3 linked regions of the Elephas maximus indicus genome follow. The protein of the gene in region 2 purifies or fractionates together with the protein of the main gene of each other region. This does not show direct contact. Links are inferred from orthologs where the notes say so. Each region holds a gene or a part of one and is shown on either strand. Other genes may lie near its edges.

What was found.
Region 1: the proteins of EEF1A2 (region 2) and EEF1G purify together in Homo sapiens (affinity purification with mass spectrometry; 4 studies listed by BioGRID and IntAct, counting the BioPlex papers as one, with this or other methods). This does not show direct contact. The link is inferred for Elephas maximus indicus from reciprocal best matches to the Homo sapiens genes EEF1A2 and EEF1G.
Region 3: the proteins of EEF1A2 (region 2) and VARS1 purify together in Homo sapiens (co-immunoprecipitation; 3 studies listed by BioGRID and IntAct, counting the BioPlex papers as one, with this or other methods). This does not show direct contact. The link is inferred for Elephas maximus indicus from reciprocal best matches to the Homo sapiens genes EEF1A2 and VARS1.

The regions. Positions count from the first base shown.
Region 1 is NC_064825.1:125,752,922-125,763,106, forward strand, and holds the start of EEF1G (elongation factor 1-gamma), read right to left. Parts: upstream 5,022-10,185; 5' UTR 4,926-5,021; coding exon 4,914-4,925; intron 3,810-4,913; coding exon 3,651-3,809; intron 3,004-3,650; coding exon 2,940-3,003; intron 2,782-2,939; coding exon 2,639-2,781; intron 2,111-2,638; coding exon 1,967-2,110; intron 309-1,966; coding exon 179-308; intron 1-178. Other genes in the region: TUT1 (speckle targeted PIP5K1A-regulated poly(A) polymerase), read right to left, coding at 6,369-7,504, 8,115-8,207, 8,352-8,462, 8,622-8,731, 9,338-9,807. UniProt on the Homo sapiens protein: Probably plays a role in anchoring the complex to other cellular components.
Region 2 is NC_064843.1:4,533,369-4,544,072, reverse strand, and holds the start of EEF1A2 (elongation factor 1-alpha 2), read right to left. Parts: upstream 4,440-10,704; 5' UTR 4,189-4,439; intron 2,919-4,188; 5' UTR 2,836-2,918; coding exon 2,692-2,835; intron 1,119-2,691; coding exon 939-1,118; intron 267-938; coding exon 1-266. UniProt on the Homo sapiens protein: Translation elongation factor that catalyzes the GTP-dependent binding of aminoacyl-tRNA (aa-tRNA) to the A-site of ribosomes during the elongation phase of protein synthesis.
Region 3 is NC_064819.1:93,308,269-93,319,233, reverse strand, and holds the start of VARS1 (valine--tRNA ligase), read left to right. Parts: upstream 1-6,811; 5' UTR 6,812-7,042; intron 7,043-7,281; 5' UTR 7,282-7,315; coding exon 7,316-7,702; intron 7,703-8,784; exon of another isoform or gene 8,785-9,008; intron 9,009-9,702; coding exon 9,703-9,837; intron 9,838-9,940; coding exon 9,941-10,079; intron 10,080-10,314; coding exon 10,315-10,436; intron 10,437-10,523; coding exon 10,524-10,611; intron 10,612-10,856; coding exon 10,857-10,957; intron 10,958-10,965. Other genes in the region: U6 snRNA-associated Sm-like protein LSm2, read left to right, coding at 547-614, 4,548-4,578, 4,695-4,754, 4,906-5,031. UniProt on the Homo sapiens protein: Catalyzes the attachment of valine to tRNA(Val).

The sequences.
Region 1 (10,185 bases), on a different chromosome or scaffold from region 2:
TAAAACAAGTCTCGCAGAACACTATTAATGACTATGTGTGATACCCTACATTCTGTGGGTCCACACAATCTGAGAGCAAGATAGGAAATCAAGGGGCTGACACTGAGCAAACTAGACCCTGCCCCTGGGCGCCGGCATCTCGATCTCACACATGCTTCTCTCCCTCCCTCAGACTTACCGTCAAACTGTGCCATCTTCTCACAGAGCTTCACCTCCCCCAAGACAGCCCGGAACTGGGGCTGGTTAATGCATGTGAGGAACCAGCGGTTGGTATTGGGGAAGGCCTGGCGGAATGAAGGCTCTAGGACCTGCCAGGATATAGGGGGGAAACAAAGTCACTGCAGGGAAAGGCCCTGAAGAGTTTCTAGCCAGACCCTGAGAGTCCTTGTCTCTTTCTACACCAAAGCTCCATTTTCCACTTCCCTCAAAACCCCCTAGACAGCAGCTCCCTAGAACACCAACTTACACTGGGGGCTGTTGTTGTGAGGTTCCGCTGAGTGCATTTCAACTCACAGCAGCCCCATGTGGCACAGCAGAACTGCCCCACAGAGATTCCTAGGTTATAATCTTACAGGTGCAGATCACCAGGTCTTTCTCCCACGGAGCAGCAGGGTGGATTCAAACCGCCAACCTTTCAGTTAGCAGCTGAGAGCTTAACCATTACACCACTAGGGCTGCTACTCATTTATTCTCCTAATCGTTTTTTTTGTAATCCAGCTCAATTTAATAGGCTGCTTGGGCCCACCCCTTCCACTTACCATGGATCAGAATATTTCTGGAGGAATAATATCCGTACACTGCCTTGCTCCTTTGCAAACCCATTTCACGTCTATCGTCTCTCATTTTTTAAATTGTACACATCAGTACAATTTTTTTTAAAGGTTGGGGACCAACAGGGGGCTATCAACTACTTATTTTGCCAAAGTAAGTTTGCCACTATTATCAAACTTCAAAAAGTAAAGAACATTCAACAGCAGAAAAAAAAATCTAACAATTTCAAAAGTAATGAACCATCATTTAAATTAAACTTAGCTTCGTGAAGAACTCCCAGCAGTCATTTTTTATTTTGCTGAGATCAGAGGAAAAAAAATTTGCCACTGAGACAGACAACAGAGCAATTGGAAGTGCTGGTTCTGCAGTGCTTGAGTTCAAGTTTTACCCCACCACATGCTAGCTCTGTGTCCCCGGGCAGGTTACATCTCTCCTCACCCACACAGGAGGTAAAGACTCACTAAGATGGTCCCTAAGAGACCCTCAGCACAAGGCAGAACTGCCCCGTAGGGTTTCCAAGGCTGTAATTTTTACAGAAGCAGACTGTCACATCTTTCTTCCAGAGCGGCTGGTCGGTTCAAACCACCAACCTTTCAGTTAGCAGTCGAGTGCTTAACCACTGCGTTCCAAGCAATCTTTTCTATGCTATCGTTGCATTATTATTCTGGACGAGCATCAGTCTAAGAAAACAAGCAACCCCTTATCCCCTTTAACTGACGCCCTCCAGAGGGATAACTATTACTCTGGTTTTATACACTTCAGGGGTAAAAAAAAAAAAAAAGACTAAAAGAATTAAAAAACACATACAACCCTGTAACTAGTAAGTGACGCAACCAAGATCTAAACCTAGACCTCCAAAAGATCTTGATGCTGAAGCTACTTAAAAAAGAAGAAAAAAAAAGCTACTACCCCTACCTAAACACCACAACTGGCCTTCCCAGGAAATATGTCAACAAACTAAACATCTTAGCTGCCACGTGAAAACTAAGCGAACAGAACATCAAACTTCTCAGGAAAGGCAGAGAAAAGCACAGTTCTAGGACTGAATCCTGGGATTCCAACTGTCCTACAGGCTAGCTGTCAGACTCCCTGACACCCATGTCCACAGCAGAACCCAGAATAACCTGGAAGACTTGTCACTTCGTTCCTAATCTCTACCTACCCTCTGCCAACTGGATTTTTTAATATACTTCACCTGTTTGTAGAGCCACAACAGGGTGCAGACAACTGTGATGTCAGCCAGGGTGACACGTTCTCCCACCAGGAAAGTCCTCGTTTTCAAGTGAGCATCCAGCAGCCCCAGAATTCGCCTCACCTCCTCCTTGGCATTCTCTGTGGCCTATTGAATTTAAATCATCAGCTAGTTGGTGCCAATCCCTTTCCCCCTCCACACACTGCTAAAACTAAACTAAGGTAGTTATTTCACTTACTGAGTCCTGGATCACCCCCACCCTCTCTCAATGGAATCAGAGTCTAGGGTCATTCCAAACGTATCGCCAATGAAGCTCTCAGTGTTAAATTTCTTCATGGTGCAGTCTGGCTTCACTTCCCACTGTATCGATTGTAGTTATGGATCTTGGAATTTAGAAGGAACTTAGAGGCCATCTGGTCAAACCACCTCCTATACTGTTTGGTATAATCTTCCTACAGCAGAAATTCTCCCCTGACTACTCATGACAATCCCTTCAGTGGGTCTATCTAACCAAGAACTCAGGTACCTCAACAGCCCATTGTGCCAAATTACACCCCAAAAATTAGCTCTTCTCATTACCCAGATATTCTTTGGGCATCACCTTTTCTCAATCTTTTTTCTTTTACTCTCTGACACTCTGGAGCCCCTGGCTTCTGCCTAAGTCCCGAGGCTCACCTGCTTGTTGTGGTGCATGATGCCCAAGGTGGGGAACACCCAGGTACTGGCTGGAGGGACTATGTCGCTGTCAGCAAAGCTCACCCACTGCACCACCTGGGCTGCTGCCTCTGGAGTACTTCCCCGCAGTTCCTCATTGCTCACTGCAGAGACAGGACACAAAGGTCAGGAACACTGGGGCCATGCCAACTCCAGTCCAGGCCCCTAAGAATCTTCTTGTCCACTCCAGCTCACCCTCACCCTCTACTTCCACACCCCTCATCTCCAGACCCTCCCATTCCCGCACTGCCCTGCACATTACCATAGTAGGCAATGGCATTGCTCTCAAACACACAGAATCCATCGTCACCCTCAAATGCTGGAACCTGAGGACAAAGCAGTCAAAAGATGAAGTAAAATACACAGGGATCTTCACTAGCCTGTTCCAGGGACTGAATCGTTTTGGATAAATTTTTTTATATACAGCTGACAACCCCTGCCACCCAAACTCTCAGTATCTGAACTAGTGAATCCAAACAATTTGAATATTATCAAGTATTTGTATAAAACCCCTCAATAAGATTACAAGCAAAAGACTAGATACCCCAAGTCTGACATCTAAGTCTACACCCCTCGTTATGCTGCTACCCAGAGCACTTGAGCTATTTTCCTTTAGCAGGATAATTTACATTATCTCTGTAGGCCCCCTGGGGCAGGGACCCACCTCAGAGCAGATACTTGATCTATTCACACTGAAAACACTTGGTCAAAATGCATGCTTCTTCCTACAGACACAAATAAATCTGTGCATTTTATTAAAAAAAAAAATCACTAGATATCTCTGTATTATTTCTTACAACTCCATGTTAAGTCTGCAATTATCTCATAATAATATTTAAGTCACTGAAATGCGAAAAAAAAAAACACAGGAAGCTTCCTTTTAAGGATGGAAACTTCCTCCAGAGCAATGGGATTCTAGGGCTCTGTGGGCTCTCAGGGCCAAAGGCCCACCTCTCTCCACTTCCCTACTCACCTTGCCGGCAGGAAATTTGCGGAGAAATTCAGGGGTGCGGTTGGTTTGGCCAAAGTGGAAGTGGGGTGGTGCGGAGAGCACGCGGACCTGAGCCCCGCTGTACTGAGCAGCGATGAGGGCCTTGAAGGCCCTCCAGTTTTCAGGATATGTGTACAGGGTCTGTGCAAGAAAGAAGGGGAGGATAAAATAATTGGAGTTGAGGGTCCCAGTCCTAAATGCCACCCCCCAGAATTACCCCCCTGTGAGTAACTGCCATCTGTTCAGTTCACTCTTTTACTCCCGCTGGTGAACCAAATTCTTTAGTACCTGCCATATGTAATCAGAGTCCCTGGAAATTCCAAGAACAGAACTACACACTAACTGCTAAATAAAGCTTGTTGACAGATCTGACCTTTCCTAAGGACACCTCTACATGCATTCTCTTCCCCCAAATATATCTCCAAGAAACCCAGAGCTTGTAGCTCACTCTGACTCCATCTGCCGACAACCACAGCACCCCTCCCTTCCCAGAGCCCTTCTTTCATTCATTGAAGGGTGCGGAGCGCCTGCCTACTCTACAGCTGAGCCAGTCTCTCCTTCATAACCATCACCCTCGTCTCTAAAGAACACACACCCCACCAACAGATGTGGAAATAATTCCCCTCAGAACTGCCACGGAGACACCAAATGGCGCCCCCTCTTCCCCAACCAACTCGTCTCCCTAAAGAGCCTTTTACCTTGTCACGCATACCACCCCTCCTGTCCCGCAGTGAGTTCTCTGGTGCTGACTTTCCTCCTTCACTATCCTGGACAGCGGAGTCCAACTGGCCTGACTCCACAGTCCGGGGACTTCTTTCGTTCCCAACCCCCCCTGAAGCGACCCTTAACCGTGGCCAGCCGAATGTGCCCACAAAGACCCTCCTCTTTACCCTGTCCGCTGCTGCTGCCCCACAAAACGGTCGCCGAAGTTCCGTCAGCCTGCTGGGCTCCCATATCTCGAGGTGGCAATGAACCCGAACCCCCTTTCAAGGCCCCAGGAAGCCCGGACTCGACATCTCTTCTGCTTTACCCCCGACCCTTCCACCTCTGGCCTCCGTGAACCCCAGCCTCAGTTCCCCTCGGGGCTCCGGAAGCCCTGCTCTCCAGCAGTCATGTCTCTAGACCTCAGACCCCAGATCAGCACCCCACTAGGCTCTGGAACTCCTCTGGGCGCCCACTGACCCCACTCGGGCAGAGGATGGAGGTGGATAAGGTCACCTCGCTTCCCAGAGCCGGCAAACTTACCCCAGCCGCCATGGTGATTCCGCAGAGAGAGGGGGTGGGGTTCTCGGCGCTGCCGCAAAGCAAGCCGCCACGGGGAAAAAGGAGGGGGGAAAGGGGAGAGCCGTGGAGAAACAGCAGCCGGAAAGCGAGGACGGCATAGAAGGCATACGCACGACAGTTCGAAACCCAGCTGCGGCTGAATTGGCAGAAAGGGGGTGGGGCTCGCGGGCCGGCGCGGTAAAGCCGGCGCCTGCGCATTGGGACTTTCTTGGCTGGTCCGCCCCACTGGTGTGGCCAATGCGGGTCCCCCCGTGGAGGGGGACGGCGCCCAGGGAGGGGAAACAGTGAGAAACTGCTGGAAAAGACGCCCCTTCCCGACTACGTGGCAGAGCTGTCAGCAGGCGCTGCGCCGGGGCGCAGAGGCGTCTCCCTGCAGATCCGGGGAGAAGGGGCTTGATGGGGGTTCTGCGAAACCCCCAAACCATGAATGTATGACAAAGCAGAGAAATAGCTGCTGTGCGGAGGTAGTAGTTTGCCAAACTCCCTTCGTTGCTAGAAAGGGACGTCTACCTCAACAGGGGCCCAAGTCTGAAACCGCCTGTAAAAGTGAGGTTTGCTCCCTTTAAACCACCTTGCAGCTCTGGGATGCTGTTACTGCGAAAATAAACGGCGCTAGTTTTTTTAGTACTCTGGCCCGCGACATGGAAGGGGCAGAAGGGAGGGTGCAGCCATATCCCTGCCACGTCCTATCGGGAGGCTGGCCTCCGACCCTAGGCGGCTAATGATTTAAGGTAATTAACATACTGGTGGGTTGCCCTTCACCGATTTGAAGATCCTCTACCCAATTTAAGAGCCAGATGAACTCTTAAAGGAGAGAAAGAAGAACCCTGAGCCCGAATCGTGGGCCCTGTCACCACTCATAAATCTTTGGGGCAGCAGAAGAAATGTTGAGGCAAATTTGGTTCTTCTCCCAAGTACTGTTCAACTCGCCGACCACGCCATCACTCAGGAACTCAAGGCCCAGGCACCACAACTGCCTTGGCTCTCCCTGCCAGCCGTGATAAATGGTATGAAGGAAATAAAAAGGCTCCGAGGTGGAGAATAACAGAACTCTTTTAGACAGGGTAGTCAGAAGAGGCCCCTCTGAGAAGGCAGCAGCTAAGGTCTGGCGGGGAAACCCTGGTGGCTAGTGGTTAAGTGCTACCACTGCTAACCAAGAGGTCAGCAGTTCAAATCCGCCAGACGCTCCTTGGAAACTCTGTGGGGCAGTTCTAACTCTGTCCTATAGGGTCCTTATGAGTTATGAGTCGGAATCGACTGGACCGCGGTGGATGAGTGGGTGGGTAAGGTCTGGGGGAGGGGAAGGAGGAAAGGAGATGTATTGGTGGAAGGTGGAGGATTACTACCAGGTGGAAATTAAACTGGAGACCATTTGTAGTAAACTAGCAGCTTTATTGCCCTTTAGTGTGTATGTCTTCACTTGAGGAGATGTTTAAGTGCTTGAGGGAGGAAAACCTGTAAGAAATGGTGTAGCTCAGGGAACAGGCCTTGGGAATCCTGGAGCGGGGTCACAGTGAGAGACTGGTCTGCCTGGGAGGCGGACGCCACAAAGGTCAGGAGGGGCTCAGCCCCTGGCCTCTGTTCACCGCCACTCAGTCCTCTCAGCTCCTGGGTCACCTGAGCCTCAGTCTTCAGCCACTCTGTTCCAGCACTGCCTTCCTTGGTTTGCTGCTGTAAGCGTCTCCGGGCACGCCGCCGCCCCTGCCACACTCGGTGCCACAAGGCACAGCGCCAGCTCACCGAGGAGAGTGCCGCCCCCTTGCCTGTCTCACCCTGTGACCCTTCTTGGGCTGCATCAGGTCCCTTGGGTCCCTGCTCTGCCAAGGCTACCTGGTCTGGTTGGCCCCCTTCTCCAGTGACTAGGTGCTCTCTGGTTGTCAAGGACAGCTCCCCTGGGTGCCCAGGACTCTGCATTGCCCAGTCCTGCACCGTCTCACCAACCTCTATGACCATTTCTTCCACCCCGTCTTCACCGTGGCCCCCTGCACATTCCTGCTGCTCTTCCCTCCCCTCCTCACAGCTCTGCGTCCGTCCATCTCGTTTCAGTCTTTTGCTTGTCCCTCCCTGGGGAGACTCCCCAGCTGCATCTCCCTCTGACCTCGATCTCTTGGTTCCCTGCTCTATACAGCACCCCAATGCGTCCCTTAACAACTGGACCAGGGCCGCAGTGAGCTGGGTGAAGGGAGCCAGGGGTAAGGGGATGGGTGTAGCAGATAGCAGGGAGCTAGGGGAGCTGGGCTGCAGAAGAGGGAGCAGCCCCCAGTCCCGACCCCGGGAGGAACGGTGCTGGTACTGGAGGCTTCGGCAGTAATTGGCTGCTGCTCGGCAGCAGTTCTGTAGCCGCCCAGCTACCCGGCAGGTCACATTGGCTGCCACGTTATGACTCAGGTCAAACGGGTCCTGGAGATTCAGGGGGCCAAGGCGCAGGCCCCCCCAGAGATTAGAGGGCAGGCCTCCTGCCACAGGCAATGCCTGGCCCTCCCGCAGAGAAAGCAGTGAGCCCCGAAGATCCCAGCAAGAGACACAGGAGAAGAACTGGGCTAGCAGGGAACCTGCAGGAGAAGGAAGATTGGAGAAAAAGGGTCACTTATAGGCCAGAAAGGAGCCCTGGTGGCACAGTGGTTAAACAGGCTGCTAACCAAGCAGTTTGAACCCACTAGCTGCTCTGTAGGAGAAAGATGTGGCAGTCTGTTTCCATAAAAATTATAGCCTTGGAAACCCTATAGGATAGTTCTCTGTCCTATAGGGTCACTATAGTTGCAGTCGACTTGACAGCAACAGGTACAGGCCAGAACTGAGACTGTTGGAGACAGGTCTTACACCAGAGCCATTTCCTTAGCAGTAGTGTCTCTCTTCCAAGGAGCTCAGGAGAATGTCAAGAAGCTAGACTTCTCTGCTCCCTCTATACAAGAGGTCAAGCCCCTCTCTCTGTGCCCTCAGCAACACCCTTCCCCAGAGGCTACTCCCTCCTCTGGCTAGCAGTGTAGCCTCGGGCAAGCCACTTGGCTGCCCCAAGGCTTTGTTTCTTTGTCCATAAATGACAATAACAATATTCACCATCCCATGGAGAACCATGCGTGGCACACAGTAGACATACGGTAATGTTACCTACTATTGTGATTAATAAAATCACTGGTTGTCTCCCAGGCTCCCAGAACTTACTGAGGGGCTCCACATTGGTGCTGGGCTCCAGTCTCGAAGCATCTCGGGGGAAACTACAATCCCAGCCATCAACCTCCACCTGTTCTCCCTCACCTGTGAGAATAAGAAAGGTGCAGTTCAGCCAGGAAACGGGACTGTGTGGGGAGAAGCGAAGGGGGAGGGAGGGATAAGAAGAGACCTCATTAGCTCAGTGTGTCTAAGTATGATGGCGGAGCAGTGAAGGCCAAACTGTTGTACCTGCTTTCTGGGTGAGCTGGGACACAGTGGGCAACACAGGAGGGTCTCTGGTCTGAAGGAAATAGATCACCAGCAAGGTCAAGGCGTAGTTATTGAGAAGGGGGCCGCTCCCTGAGTGAATAATCAGTAATTCCAGTTAGATTAGAGAGGCTCCCGACCTCTTTTATAGCAGTTTTCTCCACACCAGTTCTTATACCTGCCCCCTTCTCTCCCTGATATCCTTGGTCCTGACACCAACTCAGCCTTAAGTCCGTCCTGATTCATCCTTACCTGACAGGCCCCGACCCTGAGCCCAGCAGCGGAGGGTGTACACAAGGGGCCGGACTCGCCCATCCAGCTCGGAGCAAAGACTCAGGAAGCGGGAATTATGCAGAGCCAGCCTGGGATGAAAGGAGGACGATGGTGTCAGGGCTCAAGACCCCTCTGAGCTACCAGCTCCCCCTGCTCTCATTCCTGACTTGTATAACCAGGGCCAAGTGGAGTAAGCAGGCCAGAGGGGGTTTCCCAAAGTGGGTACCAAAACACTGGTCTTGTGAGAGGGTGTGCAAAAGGAAATCAAATGAGTTTAGGAAACATAACATCCTATATACCAGTCTGGAACATTCAGAGCAGGTTATAAAACTGCTCAGAGCCTTCAGTATGCAAAAAAACAGAGATGGGAAGGGAAGGAGAAAGGGAGGAAAGAGAAAGAGGGAAAGGGGAAAGAGAAAAAACAAAACTCATTTAATTTAGCACTTTCCAAATGTATTTAACCATGAAATCCTTTTCCACATCCCTTAAAAATAGTATCCCCAGGAACACACTTCAAGAACATAAAATAGAAACCAGACAAGGAAATGAGAGGCAGAAAGAGGGATGAGACCATACAAGAATAATCTCAGGGCTCGGAAGGTACAGGAGCTTCTCAGACCAGGACTCCCTCCTCCTACCCTGGAATTCTCAGCTAGCCTTTCCCAACCACCACCACCGCTCCCCAAGAAAGATACCGGTTACTGAGGGAGATGTCACCGTGGAGACCTGAGGGCCGATGGCAGAATTTGACCACAGGGCGTCGGGCAGAGGGCACAGTTTGGACTCGGTACACCCCAGGCACACAGCCCCGAAGAATAGATCCCACCAGCTCCAGCATTGCTCCCCCCTCTGCTTTCTCCCCCTTCAAGGCCTCTGCTAGTTCCAGAGACTTCCCCAGGTCCCCCTCTCCCCTGTCTTCCTGTAGGGGAGAGGCTGGAGGCAGGGACTGGGGGGAAGCCAGGGTCTCAGAGGCCAAAGCCGAGTCCGGAGTCTGGGGCGCCAGGGAGGAGGATGGGGTTTCAAAGTCCAGGGCTTCAGAGTCTTGGGGAGAAGATGGAGGCTGTGAGCCTGGAGGGGAGGCTGAGATGCAAGCCAGGGCTTGAGGATCCAGTGGGGAAGCAAGGGCCGAGTCCAAGGATGGAGACTCTGGAGGCTTTGGGGCTGGCTGTGGGCAGAAAAGAGCCAAGTGAATGCCTCTGCTGCTGTCCCCTAACTGGGGGAACATTCTTGTCCCCAAAATGACAATATCTAATATCTGCAGCTTGTTACATGTTAGGGTCTATTCTAAGGGCTTCGCATCTATTAACTCATTCAATCCTCACAGCAATCCTTTTTTAAAAATAAAAGTAGCCGTGTAATTACATAAAGTAAATGGCCTGTATTCTTCAAAAATATCATTGTCACAAAAAACAATAACGGGCAGAGGAACTATACCAGATCAAAGATGACTGAAGAGACACTACGACAGTCCACCGTAGACACAGCTAACAAATCAGAATATGGACTGGAGGTTAAAGTCTTGTACCAGTGTTAAAATTTCCTC
Region 2 (10,704 bases):
TGCCAGCCGGAGATGGGCACAAAGGGCACAGTGGCTGGGTTGTAGCCGATCTTCTTGATGTAGGCGCTGACCTCCTTGACGATCTCGTCATAACGTTTCTCACTGTAGGGTGGCTCCGTGGAGTCCATCTTGTTGATACCCACGATGAGCTGCTTCACACCCAGTGTGTAGGCCAGCAGAGCATGCTCCCGTGTCTGCCCGTTCTTGGAGATGCCGGCCTCGAACTCTCCCACGCCCGCAGCCACGATCAGCACTGCACAGTCAGCCTGCCGCAGGTTGGGCAGGTGAGCCGCTGCCCAGGGGAGGGACCAGGGAACTCCAACCCAGGGACAGCTACAGAGGCTCGGCCCCCAACTGACCCAGCCCTGCCCCAGCTCTGCCGCCAGTGGGCTGTGTGGCTCTTGACAGGTCACTCAGCCTCTCCAGCCCTGTCCCCTCCTCACCTGCCAGCTACAAGTGTCCCAGGGATATCGTGAGGACAAAAGATGGTTTTAGTTGTACAAGCACTTTGGAGATCCCAACACCCCAAGGAAACGCAGGTGACTGTTGCTGGTTCTCATCCTGCCTCCTACATGGGTCAGGTCTGGGTGCCTGTGTCCATCTGTCTGTGAGGTGCCTGTGTCTGTCTGCCTGCATGGGTGCCCCCATCTCTATGTCCATCTGTCTGTGAAGGGGCTATCCATCTCTGTCCACCCTGTACCTATGCCCTGATGGCAGCTGGCTTCCAGGTCTGTTTGTCCTTCTGTCTATCCATGCCTGGCTGAGACACTACAGCACTTCATCAGTTCTTTGGGGGCTCGGTGCCGGGTGGGCTGGAGCAGCTGACTGCTCAGTGCTCAGTGGTGTGGAGGAGACCTAGCTGTCCCCAGAGGACTCCAGGACCCCCCAGGGGGCTGTGGTGGCTCTGCCCTTGCTGCCCCACACGGCCCCCTGCCCACCTGGGATGTGCCGGTGATCATGTTCTTGATGAAGTCGCGGTGGCCCGGGGCGTCAATGATGGTGATGTAGTACTTGGTGGTCTCGAACTTCCACAGGGAGATGTCAATGGTGATGCCACGCTCACGCTCTGCCTTCAGCTTGTCCAGCACCCAGGCATACTTGAAGGAACCTTTCCCCATCTGGAGGGAGCAGGGCAGGGGCATTCAGAGGCCCAGCCGGGTGGTCCAGGCCTGCAGTCACTTCCCATCCACCTCAGCTGCCCCCACCTGGCCATGGGAGCCATTCTGGGGCTCTGGAAGCAGCTTATGTAGCAGAGGCTCCCTCCATGAAAACAGGCTCCAGTCTCACCCTGCCACCTGCTTGGACCCCATGACACCAGCTCCCCAGAACAAGAAAGCCAGCTTAGGGACCCCCCAAGGGATGTCCCCGCCCGGCGTCCACAGACATGACTTAACCCAGGTTCGCCATCCCTGCCCATGCTGTGTCCAGCAGGCCGCACCGTTTCCCACACCCACCAGTAGGTGGCGGGAGGGCCTGGAACCTGTCTTAAGAGGAGCTGCCAGCTGGGATTAACCCCTTCCCCTGGCTGCTGGGAACCCCACCCATGAAGTCCACAATGCCACAGGGTGTCTCAGGCTGTTGGATAACCACTCTGTGTCATTGAAAAATAAAAAAGAAAGAACTGGGTCACACCAAAGGGACCAGCTTTCCAGCTCTTTCTACAGCCGGCAAGGGCCCCCAAATAGCTCTGAGGCTCTCCCCACCCCACCCTGCCCACACAGGTGACTCAGAAGGTCTCCCCAGACACAAGGCCAGGCCTGCCCTCTGCTCTACAAACACCTGGGCCTGGGGTCTGCGGAGCAAGACTCCCCATCACCTGGGGCTGGGGCTTCAGGGAGGGCAGCTTCACCAAGCTCCCTGCCAGCCTTCATGCGGACAGGCCTCTACCCCTAGGGAGGCTACCCAGCCTAAAGGGGGGTGCCAGACGATCCCTGGGCCAGTGCGCCAGAATAGATGCCCTCCAAACACCCTCTGCTGCTCCCCATGCAGCCACAGGAAGGAGTGACGCAGCTGTTTGGGCCTCCCACAGAGGCATGTAGGTCAGAGCACCGCACCTGGGCAAGGGCTCAGCCCAGACCAGCAACACCCTGGGCCCCTCTATCACCCGGTGAGAGCCTTCAGAGGCTTTCTCACATGTGAGCTTCTCCCAAGCTCAGGGCGGGGGGCAGCCCCCAAAAGTGGTGAACCCTCCACTACACAGCCACTTCCCACCCACAGGTCTCAGCCACTCTGTGAGAGGGACCACCAGCTAATGGCCCCTCATCCTCTCCAGGGCAGCCAAAACCTCCCGAGCGCACCCCCCACCAGTCCTGCCCAAGAAAATGGAGCTGGTGGCTCGCTGCCCATCAATCAGCTATTAATAGCAGCCAGAGAGCCCTTGTGCCCTGTCAAGTGAGGGCAGCCCCACCTCCAGCCCCGTTTGTCCCTGTGGGTGCAGGAGCCCAAGGCTCCGCCAGCCCCATGAGCAGAGCATTCTGAGCCCTGCTGCCCACGCCATGGAAGGCAGACGCGTGGCCCAGGCCACATCCCCCATCATGGAGCAAACCCAGGCACATGCTCAGATCCCCCCACCTCCAGCTTCTGGGACAAGGTTCCCTCAAGCCTCACACCCTCTAGGCCTGGAGGAGGTAGCCTGAGCCAGACAGATGGGTCAGGGGTGAAGGTGGGAGAGACGGAACCCCCTCTGCTCACCTCGGCTGCCTCCTTCTCAAACTTCTCAATGGTCCTCTTGTCAATGCCCCCGCATTTGTAGATGAGGTGGCCAGTTGTGGTGGACTTGCCTGAGTCCACGTGGCCGATGACCACAATGTTGATGTGGGTCTTCTCCTTCCCCATTCTGCCCAGGTGTGGGGGAGTCAGCACAACCTGGGGCGCTCTGACTTGGGGTGAGGGGGCTGCCGAGCAGTGCTTCTATGGGGCTGGAGTGGGGGGACAGGGAGCCTCAGGTTAAAGCCCAGAAAAGACACCGCCCTGGTGCATGTGGTGGCACAGTCCCTGCCCACATCCCGTGCCCCAGTTAGACCCTGCCTGGCTGGCCACGTGGGCCATATACCCCCCACCCCTCCCTTTGACCCCGTGGCTGTAAGGCTGGAAGTGTCTGGGCATCGCTGCCCAAAGACACCAGCCCCGTGACAAAGGAGGCTCGCTCCCATGTGGAGAGAAAGGCCAGGCTGGGTGAGCCCCATGCTCGACCAGCGTCACCGGGGAGCCTGGTTGATGAGTCACCAGAGGCCCTGTCCCCACTGCCCCCCCGCCCCATGAAGATGATCAGCGCTCCTCACTCCCTTCCCCAAGCAAGGATAGCGCCATCTTCCATCCAGCCCATCCGCTGGCACCCAGGGATGAGGGGGTGAGGCAGGCTTTGGGGGGGGCTTGGACAGGAACCCTGCTGTGTCAGGGTTAGGGGCTCAGAACAGCCCCGCCTTCCTTTGAATCTGGGTGGGGGGCAGGCAGCAGGAATGGGGGTATCCATTCTGGCCAGAGGAGTATCTGGCTCCAGCAGCCAAACGCAGCAGGTGCCGATGCCAATGCCACCAGCCGGTGGGCACGGGGGAGGGTTAAGCCTGCCCCCCACCCTGGTCAGGGGCCTTGATCAGCCCTGCACCTTCCTGGCTGCCCCCCACCCCCACCCCATCTGAGGTCAGTGGAGAAGCAGCCGCCAAGGAGAGGGCAGGCGCCTGGGGGAGGGGAAGAGGCACACATGGCTAGCACCCTGGGGCGTGGATAGCTAGGTGGACACCGCCGGGGCCCACAGGGGTGGGCGCAGAGTGGCCGGGTTCCCGGCTGGCCGCCTTCTCCTCCCCAGCTACGTCTCCCGGACACCTCCAGCACCCACCCCTGCCATCCCCCAGCACTGACGACCCTGGCCCCAGCAACGCAGGGGCGGTCCCTTCCAAGGTCATGGCTGCAGGGTGGCGGCCTCCGCCCAGGAGACCAGCCCCTGTCATAGTCCGCCGCCGAGTAAACAAGCGATCGTGGTCCCCCCAGACCCGCTGCCCGCGGGGATCTGAGCGCGGTGCCCGGTTGGGGTGCTTGGGATGGGCAGCGGATGTCTGCAAGTCAAGCAGCGCAGCCCTGCGAGGCTCCCCGGCCCAGCCCCTGCCTGCCCCCAGGACCCGTCCCCGGGGAGAAGACCCTCTACAGGAAGCCGGAGCGCGGATGGGGGCCCTCGAGGCCGATCGTCCTTACCCGGAGCCGCGGTCTCAGCCAGAGGGACTGGCGACGTTGGCGCCGGCGGTTTTATCTCTCCGGGAGGGGGTCCACCTATTGACGGTGCGGCGCAGTGCACTGCGCCCCTGCAGTACGGCACTGCGGTACGCTGGGCGGGGCGCAGGCGCGGGGTGCAGATGCGGGCGGCGGGCCCACGGACGAGCGCGGGAGGGAGGTTGCGGGGAGAGCAAGCCACAAAGGCGCGGAGAGCCAGACGCACCGAGGGTGCGCGGAGGGAGCGCGGCGGGAGAGGAAACGGGTCGGAGGCGGGGCGGAGAGCTGGGGCAGGCCATGGAGAGAAACACAGAGGAGACTGAGAGAAACGCAGCCAGGGCTGGGAGGCGGGCCCAGATCAAAGACAATGAAGACAAAGCAGAAAAGACGAGACAAAGAATAAAAAACAGGTCCCCAGGGCTGAGAGTAAAATCCACAGGGACAGGAGCTGGCTTGTGGGAAGGTCAAGTGGGACCCATTCCTCCAGGGTCTGAGGGACCCTCGGAGCCAAAGAGCAACCAGTGCCTGGGACCCAAGGGGGCTGAGGCCAGGGTCTGGGCCACTGCCCTGACCCCACGAACCCCCTGCCAGCCCTGGCCCTGCACAGAGTCCATGCCCATGAACAAATGAAGCTACCTTCAGGCACTCTCTGGTGGGACCTTTCCCTCTTGCCTGGCCCACCTAGTCCCCATGGTGTGGCCCAAGAATGGGGCCTCTGAATACCTCTGTGGGCCAAGTGGACTGAGGCTGGGACAGCAAATCTGTTCCCATGAGGCCCCTGGAAACAACCATTGTTTCCTGGGTCCCTTGGTTCGGGGATGCTCAGGTGCACAGCCAGCGCTTAACACCCATCCCAAGAATGCGCTGGCATCTGCGAAGGGCATGTGCACTCGTGGGTGCACAGGTTCCTGGGAAACAGCATCAGCCGATTTGATAAATCAGGTCCCAAACCGAGTTGAGGGCCATGACTCAGCCTCCGTTACTGGCCCAGCCTCTTGCTCCTCAAGGCCGAGGCTCCACCCTGACTCAGTGCATATAGGCCCCCCAGCTGCTGAAGCCAGAGGCAGGAGGTGCCTGGGGAAAGTTCCAGTGAGGGTCCTGACCCAGCACAAGCTCCCAGCTGGCCCAAAACGCTGGCTTGCTGACCTAGAGGCAGGAGTTGGGAGGCCCTAAGAGTGCCCTCAGCACAGCAGATCACCCCTAATCACAGGGGTGGCAGAGTTCCAGGGAAATCACAGCTGTCACTTCAAAGTTCAAAGTGAAGGGCTCGCTGCCTGGCCTAGCTGCTCAGAGGAGTGTCCACCTCATGCAAAGAACCTAAAGGGTCTGAGATGGCCCCCCGAGCCCAGAGCTGAGTGCGGGAGGAGTCGGGAGAGGAGGCACCCTGCCCTGCTGAGGGGCACAGTCTGCTTCCCACAGGCTTCGATGGCAACTAAACAGAGCCCATGGAGCAGCCTCAGCCAGTGGAGGTGAGGGCCTGGGGGCCAGGAACACCGACTTGTGGGAATAAGGGGTTCATGAAAGGAGGGAACGTGGTGGGCACTCAGGAGTCAGAACACCACCTCTCACAGCCAGCTGTGAATCCTCCAGCCAGTGCCCTCTCTGGCTGTGGACCCAGCACCCTTTGCCGCCCTCCGGGTCCTACTTGGTTAAGCAGGGAGAGTGAAGCACCTACTCCTCCAGGTCCTTGTGTCCAGCACCTGGTGAGGTCCAATGTAGCCAGTCCTCCACCTTCCCCCAGACCCAACCCGGGGCCTGTGACCCCACTCCCTGGAGGATCATCTGTGGGTGGCAGTCCCAGGAGGCCCATCCTGCCCAGCCTGCAGCAGGCCGGCCTTTGGTGGGGGGACAGTCCATGGTTGGGGAGTTCCCCACTTGTCCCCCAACTTGGTCAGCTTTGAGCCTCCCTGCCATGACCTTGACACTGTCTGTGATGGCTGGCACTCGGGAAGGAATGTTGCCAAGATCATCATCTTTGTTGACTGAGACTGGTCCCATGTGGTGTGGGACTGTCTCTCCTGCCCCCTGGAGTCCATCTGCCTGAATATCCTCAGCATGACCCTCAGCCCATGATGGCGGCTGGATGCCCAGGACCTGGCAGTGAAGGCCATTTCTCTGGCCATTGTCCTGCACAGCCGGGCAGACGCTGCCCCTCAGTATGCCCCTACCCCATGCTCTCATTGGCTCTGCTTGGCCCTGCCTTGAAATTCTTGGCCCATTCCAGGGCTGGAAGGACCCCCAGCAATACCCTAAACCCACCCAAGAAAAGAATCGTGACAAAAGGCTTGCGCCTTGGCAGCCCCTGTGTGTCTGGGGATTCTTACGGGAAGGGGCCTGCCTGGCGCCGTCTGGCCCTGTCCTATGCTCGTCCAGGAGATGCTAGCGGGGGTGGCCCCGTTCTGCTCCTGTGGGGCCTCGGCAGACCCAGGGTCTCTGTTGTACGGCCGTCCACCCTTCACCCCACCAGCACCCATTAACCCGGGACAGGACTTAGGAGGGAGGAGGTAGATGGCGTCTGCTCAGTGGAGGTGTTGGAGGAGGGCAGGTGCTCAGCTGGGGCCTAGTGGCCCTGGTGGGTTCCTGGCAAAGGTCTGGAGGGGGTGTGTGAAGAAAGGTGATCACTTGGACTTAGTAGGGTCTTTATGGGGAAGCCAAGGCACCAGCCCACCACCCCTCCCACAGGAAACCCTGTGGTGGGCCCTCTGGCACCCCTGGGGACAGTCTTGTGGGCACAGTGGAGTGTGGGCTGGCCAGCCCTGGGGCTCGACCTTTAGCTCCTCCCATCCCAGCTTCTCTCCAACCCTTCAAGGACAGCTCAGAGACCCCTCAGCACAAAGGAGAAGGAACAGCTATGGCAAGAGCTTCTAAAAACTGGAGTGGGGGTATCCAAGCTTGAGCAGGAATCCCTGTCCTGGGGAGGAGGGAAAGAGCATGGGCTGTCTCTCAGGGGGCCCTGAGTGCCAAGACAAAAACAGGGCGGTCTGGCCACAGGGGCAGAGGGGCATAGAGCTGCTTGGTCATGGGGTAGACAGGGTAATGGAGCCCTCTGGTCACAGGGGCAGACAGTCATAGAGCCATCTGGACAGAGGGGCAGACAGGGTCATAGAGTCGTCTGGCCAGAGGGGAAGACAGGATCATAGAGATGTCTGGTCACAAGGGCAGACAGGGTCATGGAGCCGTCTGGTCACAGGGGCAGACAGGCAGTGGCATCACTAGGGTTGATGTCACCCAGTGCGGTAACTCATTGGCACCCCCCCATGGACCTCCTCCCGTACCAGATCTTGCAGAACCCTTACTAATGTTTTTTGTACTATTGCTGTTTGTAAATCGTAATTCCATGTATCAGTTAATGTAATGGTAATAGTGACAGGAACAACTAGCAAAATTAAAATTCATCTTTAAATTACGATGTCACACGCACAGCATAAACGCATTTACATTACATAGTTTCATGTGGTTAAAGTGGAAATTCGGTAAGAAAACAGAATTTGAAGTAAAAATGTTTAAGAATTACATGAAAATTATGTTCATTTTAACATTAAACTTTACTATCATGTTCGATGATTCATGGATTAGGTTTGCATAATTGATAATGGCCCAGATAGTGTAGAAGTTGTAGACAATGCAGATGGGAACATACTCATGATTGAAATAATGCCGTAGAAATAATCAGGAACCAACACACAAGCATTTCAGCACCCAGCAAACATCTCGACTAAATCAGAACTCTCCTTTCCTGGCCTTCAAAGCTGCAAACGTGTGAATGACTTCATCGAAATCAATGCCTTTCGCCAACTCACTTTGTAATGTGTCATTTAGTTTTTTAAACCCTGAAAATTCCATTAAAGTCAGATATGTATTTGCAAGACAGTAAGGTTTTTAAAGAAAGTTTTAAAAGGACTAAAAAAAATTTTTAAATGAACTTAATATTTCTAATATTTCTAAACATCTATCAAGAAACACAGCATTTCCCCAGCATGGCATTTAGGCCCTAACAAGAGAGTCAGCCTGTCCTCTGAAGCTTTGAAGCCAGGCATTGACTCCTCCTCTGTGGCTGTGAGAGTCCTAGACGGCACCTTCTTCCAATACAAGGCGTTTTGTCTACATCGAAAATCCGTTGTTTACTGTAGCCGCCGTGGTCAATTAGCCGGATCTTCTGGAGGACTTGCTGCTTCCCTTGCACTCTCAGGTTACAGAGGCGACTTCTTTTGTGTTTTCAACTTCTTTCATGTTTAAATTTCATGTTCTCAACTGTCATTTTCTCTACGTAGTTATCAAAGTTATATAATCAGTAACTGTTATACATGTAAGTTTGTTATCAGTTTTAATCATAGATAAGCATAGTTGTAAATTGCTAAGGTATACGATTTCTTAGGCTATATGATTACTAACAATCAAGTTGTTTTATAAAATCTGCTTTGAATTACAATATTAGTGCAACATTATCAGTAACTGAGCCAAAGCCTTTTTTATTTTTCTCCTTCTCTTCCCTTAATTACACTACTTCATTCTCAAAAAAATTACTGATATAGGTTCACAAACACTAATTACCACAATAAAGTAGCTAAAACACCAGAAAATTGGACAAAATCAGCCACCGTATAAACACGGGCAGCAAGAAGAACAACAGCACAGGCGTGTGGCATGTGCAGACGGCACCGTGGGATCTGAAGCGTCGCTGTCGTTGGATAACTCTGACAGCCCTGCCAGAGGGCATCAGAAGGTTCAAAAAGCAAGTTAGTGTAGAGTTTTAGACTTGTAGGTATATTGATACATATAAACTGGGCTTACAAAAAATGTTTTTGTTGTTATAACTAACTACAGAGATTTTTTATAAAAAAACAATAAATCTCTGCTGAAACTGCACAAAAATTTTATAGACAGTCGTTTTGGTGTCGCCCCTTCTGACAGTGTCACCCAGTGAGGTCCACGGCCTCCACAGCCCCCTAGTAACGCCACTGCAGACAGGGTCATAGTGAAAATGGGCTCAAGGGGTCTGACAGGGCAGCTGTGCCTAGGTGAGAACAAGGTCGGGGCTTTCTTATGGGCCCTGGTCTCATCTCATCAAACGTGTCTCTGCTTCTGGGAGCCACCTCCTCTACACATTGTATTCATCCTGTGACTGCAGAGTCCAGCAGAAGGCCAGGCAGATGACAGGGTCCCCAGAGGTGAGTGGGAGCAAGGGCCTCACTCTCTCAACAACCCATCTAGACTGGGAGACCCAGCACCCACCCTGTCTGCAGGGGAGCTGGAAGCCCTGCAGGCAGGTGTGAGGAGGGTAGGGGACCAGGGCAGTGGCCAGGGCCAGCCAGGCCTCCCTGGGTCTCAGGGCTCTCAAGGAGGGTCTCTCGGGGAAGGGCGCCAGAACCCATTGAAACCCCTATGTCTGCATGTAGGAGCCCTGGGGGCTGGGCCAGGGTGGGGCTGGGGAGGCAGCTGCAGGCAGGAGGGGAGCAGGGTGGGGCACTCAGATGACCAGCACCTCTGATCACTGCTGATGCCACCAAACAGGAGCCAGGAATTAAAAATAAACCCTGGCAGCAGCAAACCCCTCACCCGCCTGGGCTCAATATTTAATGCCTTCTTGTCCGAAGGTTAGGCGGAGTTCTGAACACTGCTCACTGTGGACACTGTGATTGGCCAAGGCTGGGGTGGGCCAGCTGGAAGGGGTCAAGGTAGGGGACTTGGGAACCCTGCCCCAACTCCCCTGATGTACCCCCTCCCACCCAGTGCCTTGGGTGTTCCATCTGGGCCCCTCCTCCTGTGGCTGCTGCCAGCACAGCTGTCTGGAGCCAGATGGGCCCAGGCCCCATGGCAGGGGTGTCCCGTCCACGGTGCCAGCAAAACCACTGATGGTGGGGCAGGGGCATGACAGGCAGCGAGGGCTTTTGGGGGGCTTCTCCCAAGGGCCAGGTAGAGCATCTAGAGACTGACACACTCAGAACACTAAATAACAACCACACAGGTACCAGGCGTGGAGTCCCCGTGTGCTGGGCAGGGCCGAAGGTCAGGCCAGGACCCCAAGCCAGGTAAGGCAGCTGGGCCGAGAGAGGTTAAGTGCCCCCTGCTAGACTTCACAGCAAGTGGGGAGCAGAGCTTGGAGTGGGCAGCTGGGAGGCCTGAGCCAGGCAGGCACCACTTCCAGACACAAGCCAGGGTCCCACCATGGCCATGGCCTGGGCTCCTGGGCAGCTGCTGGGTGGGGCCTTGGCCCCCTTGATGACACCTCCTTCCCTCCCTCTGAGTCACTGGTCACAGTGATCCCTGAGGCAGCTAGGGGAGGGGTGGGGGGACACCAGGCTAGGAGAGCCTCACGAGGCACTTTCTGGGGCACAGGGTGGGCAGAGAGGCACAGGCTCCACCTCCTCAGCCCTCTTCCATGGAGCTGTTTGGGGAGACACAGCACCCCCTCTTTGGCTGGCTGGGGTTTCACAGCCTCAGGAAAGAGGACCCAGCTAAAATTAACGTGATCAAGCTGTCGGGTCTGAAAATAAATCGTCT
Region 3 (10,965 bases), on a different chromosome or scaffold from region 2:
GGCGAGCTGCGAGTCCAGGCTTTGCTTCTCTAGCCTGGTATTGAGCCCTGGGCTTTTCCCTCCATTCTTAGTTACTGCGCATCAAGTTCTTCGCGGAGGCATGTGGGAACGAATGGGTTTTTTTTTTTCCCTCCCTTTTGAGAAAAAAGAGTAGGCAGAGATAACAGGAAAGGGAAAAGCTAGATTTCAAGTAGCATTTCCCAGCCAGAGACCAGGTCTCGAGAGGGCGGGTGGGATGCCTTCAACAATTAACTAGAAGGAGTATGCAGGGGCCCAGAAGAGGTGATTGGGAGAGCTGGTCCGGGAGCCCCAGTAGTGCAGGACAGAGCTGCCCTCTGGTGCTTCAAGTAAGGGACTTAGCTAATGTGCGGAATCATTTCTGCTCCAGCTTTTCGCCTGTCAACCGAGTATTCTTTCCTGTGGAGTTTTTAGAACTGCCAGGGATGTGGTGGGGATCCCAATACCAGTATTTGAGAATACCGGCAGGGGGACATTTTGCCCTACCTGTTTTCTCCACGTGATGGTTTTTCCCTTGTCCCCGTATAGCTCTTCTATTCCTTTTTCAAGTCCCTTGTTGGAAAGGATGTGGTCGTGGAACTAAAAAATGACCTGAGGTAGGTATCTATTTCAATAAGTCTGCAGCGGGTGGGTGTGCCCAGGGCCCTGGAACCTTTTTAGTTTGATAAGTATTTGATGGCTGGGCAAGGTGGGAGAGATACAGAAGAAATAAATGACCCAACCTGTGCCCTAAGCTTACGCATTAGCTGGGAAGTTGTGTATGGGAAAACGATACAAAGCAATATATAATTTAAAGGGTAAGTATTAGAGAGGTCAGAATGTGGAGATGTCAATAAAATGTTTTCCAAAACAAACACAGTTTTATTTTTTTCTGATTAAATCATATGTTCCTTTGACCCAACTTCTAGAAATTTAACAATCAATTCCACAAGGAAAGATGAATGTCCAGAGATGCTTGTAGCTTTATTTGCAATAGCCAAAAATTGGGAACAATTTGAAATCTATCAATATAGAATTGGTTTATTAAATTGTTGTATTTCCATACTATACGGCTGTCCCATAGGAATGAGATGTGCTGATATGGGAAAGCTGTTGCAAAATAGTATGTGTGGCGTAATCTTCCTTTTCCTAAAGAAAACAGAGGACTAACAAGACCAGTGCAGTCTCTTTTGTCTGTATTGTCTTCTGTTTGTAAATCCTTTATCTCCTTGTATCATTGGCTCTGAATCATCTTTCAGGACTTGGTTAAGTGCTCTGTCCTCAGACAGACTTCCTGGTCCTTCTAGGCAAGTAGGCCCTTCTGTCATCGAGTCTACTTTCTTCCTAGTGGGTACTTCTCAAATTGTGATTTCATAGAAATATATTTACTGTTTAGAGCCTGTCCTCCCTGCAGGACCAGGACCACATTTAGCTTACTACTGTCGAGTCGATTCTGACTCATAATGACGGTACGGGACGGAGTAGAACTGCCCCATAGAGTTTCTGAGGAGCACCTGGTGGATTTGAACTGCCGACCTTTTGGTTAGCAGCCATAGCTCTTAACCACTACACCACATAGACCTGGTATATAGTAGGAGTTTAATAAATGTGTGCTGAATGAAAAAAAAAATTGCTAATGTTTGAGAGCCTCCTCTGGACTAGGCACTGTTTTGAGTACTTTGCATTTTTTTAACTCATTTAATTTTCACAACACCCCTATGTGGTGTATATTATTGTTCTTGTTTTATACTTGAGGAAACTGAAGCTTAGGTTAGAAACTCACTGGAGTCCTCACAATTAAGCCATACAGCCAGAACTGAAATCCAGTTCTGTCTGGTGCCTTTTTAAAAAAGTTAAACAGTTTAAAAAAAAAAAAAAAACTGTTAAAAATAGGATCATATTCTCTATGTAATTGTTAAACTTTTCACTTATGGATATTTTTCTGTGTAAATAAAGTTGATCCTTTAAAATTTTTAACTACTGTCTAGTACTTTATTATTTGTTAGATGGCTATATTTAACCAGGAGCCCTGGTGGTGCAGTAGTTAAGAGCTATGGCTCCTAACCAAAAGTTTGGCAGTTCGAATCCACCAGCTGCTCCTCGGAAACCAGTGGGGCAGTTCTCTATCCTACAGGCTCGCTATGAGTTGGAATCAACTCGATGGCAACAGTTTTGGGTTTTGGTATTTAACCAAGATCTGTTTTAGACACTTAGGCTGTTTCTGATTCTTTGCTTTTACAAATGATGCTATCTTGAACATCTTATGTATACATCTGATTATTTCTATAAATACGTAAAACGTATTTATAACTATTATCCGATTATACTTTAGGAAGAGATTGAATTAATGTATTCTCTCCCCAACAGTTTCTCCCACCCAGGAGAATGTGAAATTATTTCTTTGTGGGAGAAGGATTGATGTGGCAGGGAATGGTGAGGAGAGGGGCTGAACTGGAAGGCGTTAGCCTTTTAGGCCAGAGATTTCAATTTATGGCACTCATGCCACCGGCGATGCAGACAGTTTTAATTGGCATATGGGTTGGGGCTGTAGAGCAAGACAAAAACCAGCCCTAGGCCATTCTGTGAGATGACTTGTCTTTGAGTTCCCTCTTTTCTCCTTCCTAGGCCTTCATCATGGCAAGGATAAATAACTTAGGTTGTAGCCCAGGGCCTAAAGCAAGGACTTGGAAGACTCTAAGATGTTTCCTTGGTTGGGAGAAGAGCTCTTTCCCTCATCCTTGTTGTCAGACCAGTTTTACGCCAAGTGTCTCCTCCTTAAGGGACTGAATAAAATGACACCACCTGATTCAATTCCTGAAAGTTGCTTCCACTGCTGCAGGCAGTGAAGTGCAGCAGTCACAGGCTTTGAGCAGCCAGGGACATGGTGAGAACATCACTGAGGCAGTAAATCTCAGACACTGGATTTCAAAGACTTATAGAATTTTACAAAAATTGGGAGTCCAACCTAGAGTTGCCAACTTTATTTTTGACAGGATATTTTTTAAACTGCCATTATTACTATCATTTCATTTAAAACATTTTTAATACCTCCCCCCCCACAAAAAAATAAGGAAGGGCAATTAAAGAGCAGTGTTCTTTGGAAAAAGCTATTGGCAGCCCTAAGTACAACACGCATACACGTATTCTCTATATTGTATTTACTGAAGATTTTACATGCACATGTCATTGTTTGAGAACCACAGTTCCGAGGAGCTTGAGTTTGGGGATGACATGCAAGATGGTTAAAATCAAGGCGACTGGTGCTTCAAAATAATATGGAGGAGTGGATGGAGGTATTGATAGGGAAGGACTGGTAAGGGTGGGCAGTGTTCACATGGGAGTCATAACATTTGTGTGTCTCCATAATAAAATTAATCAATATAAAATGTAATTATATTTGATCTATGCAAATTTGTATATATTAAAAGGTAAATATAAAAACATTAAAATCAGTTTAACAGAAACCACAACCAGGTTGGATGTTGGCCTGGGTCGAGCTTCAAAATAATAAGACCTAGGTTTGTAGAAGTCCAACTAGAAAAGGAATTACAGAAACAGAAGTCAGCAGATGATGAAGATTCACAGGACATGGAGAGCGAAGAAGTACAACTTACAGGATTTGAAGTTACGGGACTAAATTGTTGAAGCCATTGATAGAAATTAAAGTTGAGAGAGAGAGGAAGCATAACTTTGAGCATTGGTGTTTATATAGCATTCCCCATTAACATTTTAGAGGGCTTCGGACAGTGGTGGAGCGATAAGAATTTTTGCTTTTCATGTGGGAGACCCAGGTTCGGTTCCCAGCCAATGCACTTCACACATAGCCACCACTTATCTGTCAGTGTAGGCTTGTGTACTGCTGTGATGCTGAACATGTTTCAGTGAAGCTTCCAGACCAAGATGGACTAGGAAGAAGGGCCTGGTGATCTTCCAAAAATTGGCCAGTGAAAACCCCTATGCGTGATGACGTTTCAACCTGCAATCTGTTAATGGGGATGGCACAGGACCAGACAGCATTTCATTTTGTTGTGTATGGGGTTGCCGTGAGTTGGGGGCTGACTTGATGGCAATTAATAAGAAGAACACAGATTGGGAGCACAGATGCCCTTTATGTCTGCATCTTCAAGAGCAATGCTGACTACCTTTATCTACTTTACATATGGGGCTTCTGCTTCCAAAGCAATAAATGTTTGAAAATAGCTCATGCTGCAAGCATCAGACCTGAAGTCCCTGCTTATTTGCTCTAAAGTCAGGCAAGTTAGACAGCTCTCTGAGTGCCACATGGTAATAGCTACCTTGTAAGGTGGTTGTAAAGATTACAAATAACTATGCACAGTACAGGTCTAGTGTTTAACAGTTGTTTAATGGTAGCTCTTGAGTGGGTTGGTTTAGAGAGGGAAGATGCGGGGTCTAAAATACACCATTCTTAAAGCTTTTTCTTACTCCAGGGCTTAAAGATGTCTCTCTTGGCCCACCTTTGAAGTCACCTCTATGTTTGTTGACTTTGCTGTAAGTTAATTCGGTTTTTCTCTCCCTCTACCCCCTGATAGCATCTGTGGAACACTCCATTCTGTGGATCAGGTGAGATATAGCAAGAGCCCAGAATTGGGTCTTGGGGAAGGAGAGGGGAGAGCTTAAGGGCTGGATACTTGCATCTTGTCTCTAGGGTTAATGATGGTATTCCATCTTTTTTTTAGTATCTCAACATCAAACTAACTGATATCAGCGTCACAGACCCTGAGAAATACCCTCACATGGTGAGTAGGGATGGTGAAGAAACACCTCCAAAAGTAGGAGGCCCCAGGGTGGGTAGAGGATATGTTTTTTTTTTTTTGGTAGAGGATATGTTTTTTTTTTTTGGTAGAGGATATTTTAAGGATGTTTTCACATTTGTTTGTCTTTGTATAGTTGTCAGTGAAGAACTGCTTCATCCGGGGCTCGGTGGTCCGCTATGTGCAGTTGCCAGCAGATGAGGTTGACACACAGTTGCTCCAGGATGCAGCAAGGAAGGAGGCCCTGCAGCAGAAACAGTGATGGTTCCTTCTCTGCTTCCCCGCCCTCTTCCACTGGTGACCCATAACCTAATATCCCAGCCCAGGGCCCCTCTCACCCATGGAGTTGTTTTGTTTTTGGCTGGTTGAGTTTTAATAGTGAGGCTTTTTTTTTTTTTTAACGATGAGCAGATGAGAGGGATAATAGTGGGGAGCAGGTTTCCTCTGTTGAGAAGGGGAGGATAAGTAGTGTGGGTAACTGCAAAGCCTTCCCAGTCCCCAGCACCTGCCTTTCTCACTCCTTCCCTGGAAATTGTAGGAGAGCCTCTTAGATCTTTCTAGGGCAGGGTGTGATTCTCTTTGGGGCTGGAAGGAATCTGTCCCGCATCGGGAATAAAATTCATGATGCAAATTTGAGTTGTGGTTTTGTGGTATGTCTTTTTGGGCAGGGACTTGGGGCAGGGGGCAGGAAGGTGATGCTGGATTCATTCAAGCCCTGTTACTCTCCACTCCCATAGCCAAGAGCCCACCCCAACTACATAGCATTATCTGTCACTACTCCCCTTTGTATAAACCGTGTAATAACCTGGACTATTTTTTTTTTTTATACACCATGTTTTCCTGAATATGCCCCTACTTATTTTCTCTCCCTGGTCTTTTGCTTATACTGTACCTATAACTGGAGTGTTTTGCCACTGTGGTGTCATAACCAGTCCAGGGAGGCTGAGATTATCCACCTCTGATGTCAAATGTGTGGTGGATAACAAATCCCACTCTACATGCAGCTTCGTCCTGTGGGAATCTCAGCTCCCTTCCCTGGTCAGTTCAGACTCCAGCTGTTCCATGCAGCTCTTTGTCTCTCGTCCCCGGTCACTGGGGCTAGGTCAGCAAGTACAGGCCCCTTCTGTTTCCTAGGTGCTTTAATTGTTGAAACGACTCAAAAACTGCAGGGAACGGGCTATCTTCAGCAGAAAAAAGGATACAAACACCAAGGGCGAGGTCCAGGAGGTCCCAGGAAGCTCCAGTGAACATCTTAAAAGGCCTTTTATTGACCTCACCACATGGCCATGATAGGGTACATCCTTTTTCCAGAGGTTCCCTCTGTCTGGTCAGCCCCCCCGCATTGGCCTCATTGGCCAGGCTCTCAGGAACCAGGGCGAAAGGCCAAATTGTTTACTGCAAGGGGGTTCCACACTTCCCAGGTACCCTTAACACTTCTGTGCTCTCTCATTTATGTGGCAGTTAATACTATGAGACATCAAAATCCATGATAGGTTTTGAGTTTCTTTCTCAATCTAGCGAAATCGGTAGTCTTTCTGAATATCTGTTAAGAAGGTAAATAAACACAGGACATAACTTGTATTGCATAGAGTTATGACAGGGAATTACTAAACTCTTGATTCATTCAGCAAATGAGTTCCCGCCACAGGCGAAAATTCAGTTACAAGGACCATAACCTAACCCAGTGCCGCCGAGTGCCACAGAGGCCACCTAATGTGACGCCATCATCGCACACGTGAAGAAATGAGGCTCAGGAAGGAGGGTGGACTCCCCCTCCCCATCGGTGCGGCAGAGTCTAGCTCCAGCAGGATGATACTCGCCGGCTGCCCGCTGGGCACCGCCCTCCCGGGCCCGCCTAGCGGCCGCCCACCACCCACACTGCCAGCTCCGAGGACCCCGCCAGGGTGTCCGCGGCGGCGCCTGACTGCAGGGCGGTCCCGGGGACGCCCTCCCGCGCTGTGCCTGCGCCCCTCCCCGTTCTTCGTGAGTGCGGCCCCCGGCGGCGGCTCGACCCCGGAGCAGCGTCGGCCAGGGGCCGAGCCCGCCCGTGCAGGCGGGACGCGGCCGCCCGCGCCAGGATCCGCGGGCCCGGAAACGCTCTCTGTCATAAAGGCGGGGGACACGTGGGTGCCGACGGCCCGGGAGGCGGTCGCAGGGAAACTAGGATCGCCCGAAAGACCGCCACCGCCGCCGCCCCAACCTGCCCGACTCCTCGGCCCAGGCCGCCCGGCCCATCCCGCCGCGGGCCAGCCCGGCCTAACCACCTCCCTCCAGTATGTACACGCGGCCCGAACGTGCGTCCCTGCTGACGCGGAAAGCCCCCTCACACTCCTGAGGACCGTGATCATGGGGAGTCCCGCCCCCCTCTGCCCCAGGCGCTCCCACAGCCGCCCCTCGGCTCCCGAGGCCTCATCAGACCTCCAGCCCTGGCAGAGGAGTCCCCGTGAGGGTCCCCTCTGCTGGGATAGGACCCCCCTTGAATCTCTCGTTTTACCCTGTCTTTTTTTCTCAGGTTTTTCCGTCTTGTTCGGAGTCCCTGAATAGCCATGTCCATCCTCTACGTCTCCCCTCACCCAGACGCCTTCCCCAGCCTCCGAGCCCTCATAGCCGCCCGCTATGGGGAGGCTGGAGAGGGTCCCGGATGGGGGGGTGCCCACCCTCGCATCTGTCTTCAGCCCCCCCCGACCAGCAGGACTCCCTTTCCCCCACCCCGCCTGCCCGCCCTGGAGCAAGGGCCAGGTGGGCTCTGGGTGTGGGGGGCCACAGCTGTGGCGCAGCTGCTGTGGCCAGCAGGCCTGGGGGGCCCTGGGGGTAGCCAGGCAGCAGTCCTTGTCCAACAGTGGGTCAGTTATGCCGACACGGAGCTCATACCAGCTGCCTGTGGGGCAACACTGCCAGCCCTGGGACTCCGAAGCTCTGCCCAGGACCCCCAGGTGAGTGGAGAGAAAGAACAGGGAGATTCAGAGGAAGGAAGCAAGGACTGGAATGGATAATGAGAATATTCTCTCAGAGAGTGAAAACATTTGATCAAATCCCAATTCCCACCTGGTATGGTTATTCTAAGCACGTTTCTAAAACTGTCAGCCTTGCTTTCACTGTGTCTGTGAAACAAAAGTGATGTAATACTTTTGAGTTGTTAAGAAGATGAAAGAATGTGTGCAGAGCACATAGCCCAGGGTTTTGCTCTTTAAAGGCTCAGAATAAGTGATGAGTTTGAAACTGAGAGTGATAGGGATTACTTTGAAATGGTGGGAAAGACCGGGTGAGGGAGAGATGATTAGATTTGGGCAGCTTGGGCAGGGTGGGGAGAGATAACAGTTGCCAGGAGGAGATGAATGAGAAATGAAATGAGGAAAGAAATTAAGGGGAAAAAAGGGGAGATTTAACTTCAATGCATCACTCCACCACATTGTAAATGTGCCTCCAGAGTGTGGCTGTGCCTGAGTGTCCTTGTAGCTCTTATCAGAGTATGAAGCATGTGGTGGGTATTTAGTATCTCATCAATGACCGACTGACTGAATGGATAGATATGTAGCATAGGCCCTGGCTTGTTCCTTGAAATCCTGGTCACCGTATTTAAAAAAAAGAGAGCCACCCTCTCCTGGAACTCCCTGCCCCTTCACGCTGCTTTGTTTTTCTCCATAGCAGTTAAATAGGGTGCTACATTATATATTAGCTTATTTATCGTCTCCTCCACTAGAATGTAAACTCTACCAGGTCAAGGACTTGGCCTACTTGTTCAAATTCTGATCTCACCCTGGAGTAGTGTCTGGCACATAAAAAAATAAACTGAAACCAGTTGCGGTGGAGTGATTCTGACTCAAGGCGACCCCATGTGTGTCAAAGTAGAACTGGTCTGTAGAATTTTCTTTTTTTTTTTTTTTTCATTTGTTAATTGTTCATTTACCAAGAGAAACTATTCCTTAGCCCACAGAGTCGTGTTTCATAATTCAGGAACATAGGCCAGTGACAACTTCCATGAAACTCAATCCAAAGAAATTCTTTATATTCCAAATCACTTTGCACTCTGAAGCATACCAGCTTTTCTCATCTCTTCAGAATCCTTCATGGAATCATAATTTCTGTAGAAATCCATAGATGCCTCCATGGTTCAGCTACTGCAAACTTACAGAGAGCTGCAATCCCCAGGGACATAATGAGTGCTCCAGCGATATGAATTCATAGACACCTGAGCAGAAGGCCTTGCATCTGAGGTTTCCCCAATACGCTGGAAGACATGGTGGTTTTTCTCACTTAACACCAATGTCCTTCCTGACTAGTGGAGAAAATCCATAGGGTTTTCAGTGGTTGATTTTTTTAGAAGTAGATCATCAGACCTATCTTCTGAGGTGCCTCTAAGTGGACTTAAACTGCCAGCCTTTTGGTTAGCAGCTAAGCACATTAACTGTTTGTACCTCCCAGGGACTTCTGCCAGGTACATACCAAAAACCAAACCCATTGCCATCAAGTCAGTTCCAACTCATAGTGACCCTGTAGGACAGAACAGAATTGCCCCAGAGTTTCCAAGGCTGTAATCTTTATGGAAGCAAACTGCCACATATTTCTGCCACGGAGCAGCTGTTAGGTTAGAACTGCTGACTTGTAGGTTAGCAGCCGAGCTCTTAAGTACTGTACCACCAGGGCTTCTCACCAGGTGCATAGTAGGTGCTTAATAAATATTTGTTGAAGCAAGTACTTTGTTACCTCACGTACTAACCTGTTCTTAATAGCATTTGGCATGTAGTAAGTGTTCGGTAGGGGTTTGTTAAATGAATGGGGAGGAAGCACTTTTATTATGAACATTTGAGAGAAGAGGAAACTGGCCTTTGGGATTTGTGGGAGCAGAGGGAAGCCAAATGGACTGAGTTCCGGGAGCCAGGTGGGGACTGAGGCAGGCCAAGCCTTGTCTCACACCCCTTCCTCTTCCTGCCAGGCCGCACTAGGGGCCCTGGGCCGGGCCCTGAGCCCCTTGGAGGAGTGGCTTCGGCTGCACACTTACCTGGCTGGGGAGGCCCCCACTCTGGCTGACCTGGCAGCTGTCACAGCCTTGCTGCTGCCTTTCCGATACGTGAGTCACTGGGGCCTGGGGAAGGATGAGGGCAGCTCCCCTCAGACCTCACTGTGACTAAGGGTAACTCATTTCTTTTCCCTCTTCCTCATCCTCATCCCAGGTCCTAGACCCCTCAGCCCGCCGGATCTGGGGTAACGTGACTCGCTGGTTTATCACGTGTGTCCAGCAGCCAGAATTCCGGGCCGTGCTGGGAGAGGTGGTTCTGTACTCAGGGGCCAGGCCCCTCTCCCAACAGACAGGTGACAAATGGTGGGGGTGAAGGATTAGGAGTCTCTGGGGCCTTCCATGCAGCTCACTTCCTCTTTTCTCTCAGAAATGGTAGGGGGTTGCAGGGGTCTGGGGAGGGTACAATGGGAGGATCAGTATAGGGGAGCTCTCAGGCAGCTAAAATAGCCCACGTGAAACATAGTATCATCTTCATGGAGGGTCCCTAGCAGGTTCAGGCTGAGTCTGCATTTATGTACCCCTTTCCAGGCCCTGAGGCTCCTGCACCCCCAAAGACAGCTGCTCAGCTCAAGAAAGAGGCAAAGAAACGGGAAAAGCTAGAGAAATTCCAACAGAAGCAGAAGATCCAACAGCAGCCACCTTCAGGGGAGGTGAGAGACTGAGGGTAGAGCTGACAAAAAGGCCAGTGTCTTGCAAAGGATGACTAATGTCTGGGCCTGTGTCTTTTTCCTCTTAAGCAGAAGAAACCCAAACCAGAGAAGAAGGAGAAACGGGATCCTGGGGTCATTACCTATGACATCCCAACCCCACCTGGCGAAAAGAAAGGTACTGGGATGGGGAAGGGATACCCACCCTTCACCTCAACCCTCCTTAGCAGCTCCTCCCAAACTTTTATCCCTTCTTGCTTCATCCTTATTCCCACCACTTTACTTGGTGAGGTTGCAGATCCCCCAGACCCCCAACACTGCCTTGTGATGTGAGCGAGAAGCCCAGAGCTCCTTCTGTGCTGGCCTGTCCTTTTCCCAGCTCCTCCTAGCCTTGGCACTGACCCCACCTCCCCTCTACCCCAGATGTCAGCGGCACCATGCCCGACTCCTACAGCCCTCAGTATGTGGAGGCTGCCTGGTACCCTTGGTGGGAGCAGCAGGGCTTCTTCAAACCAGAGTATGGGGTGAGTGG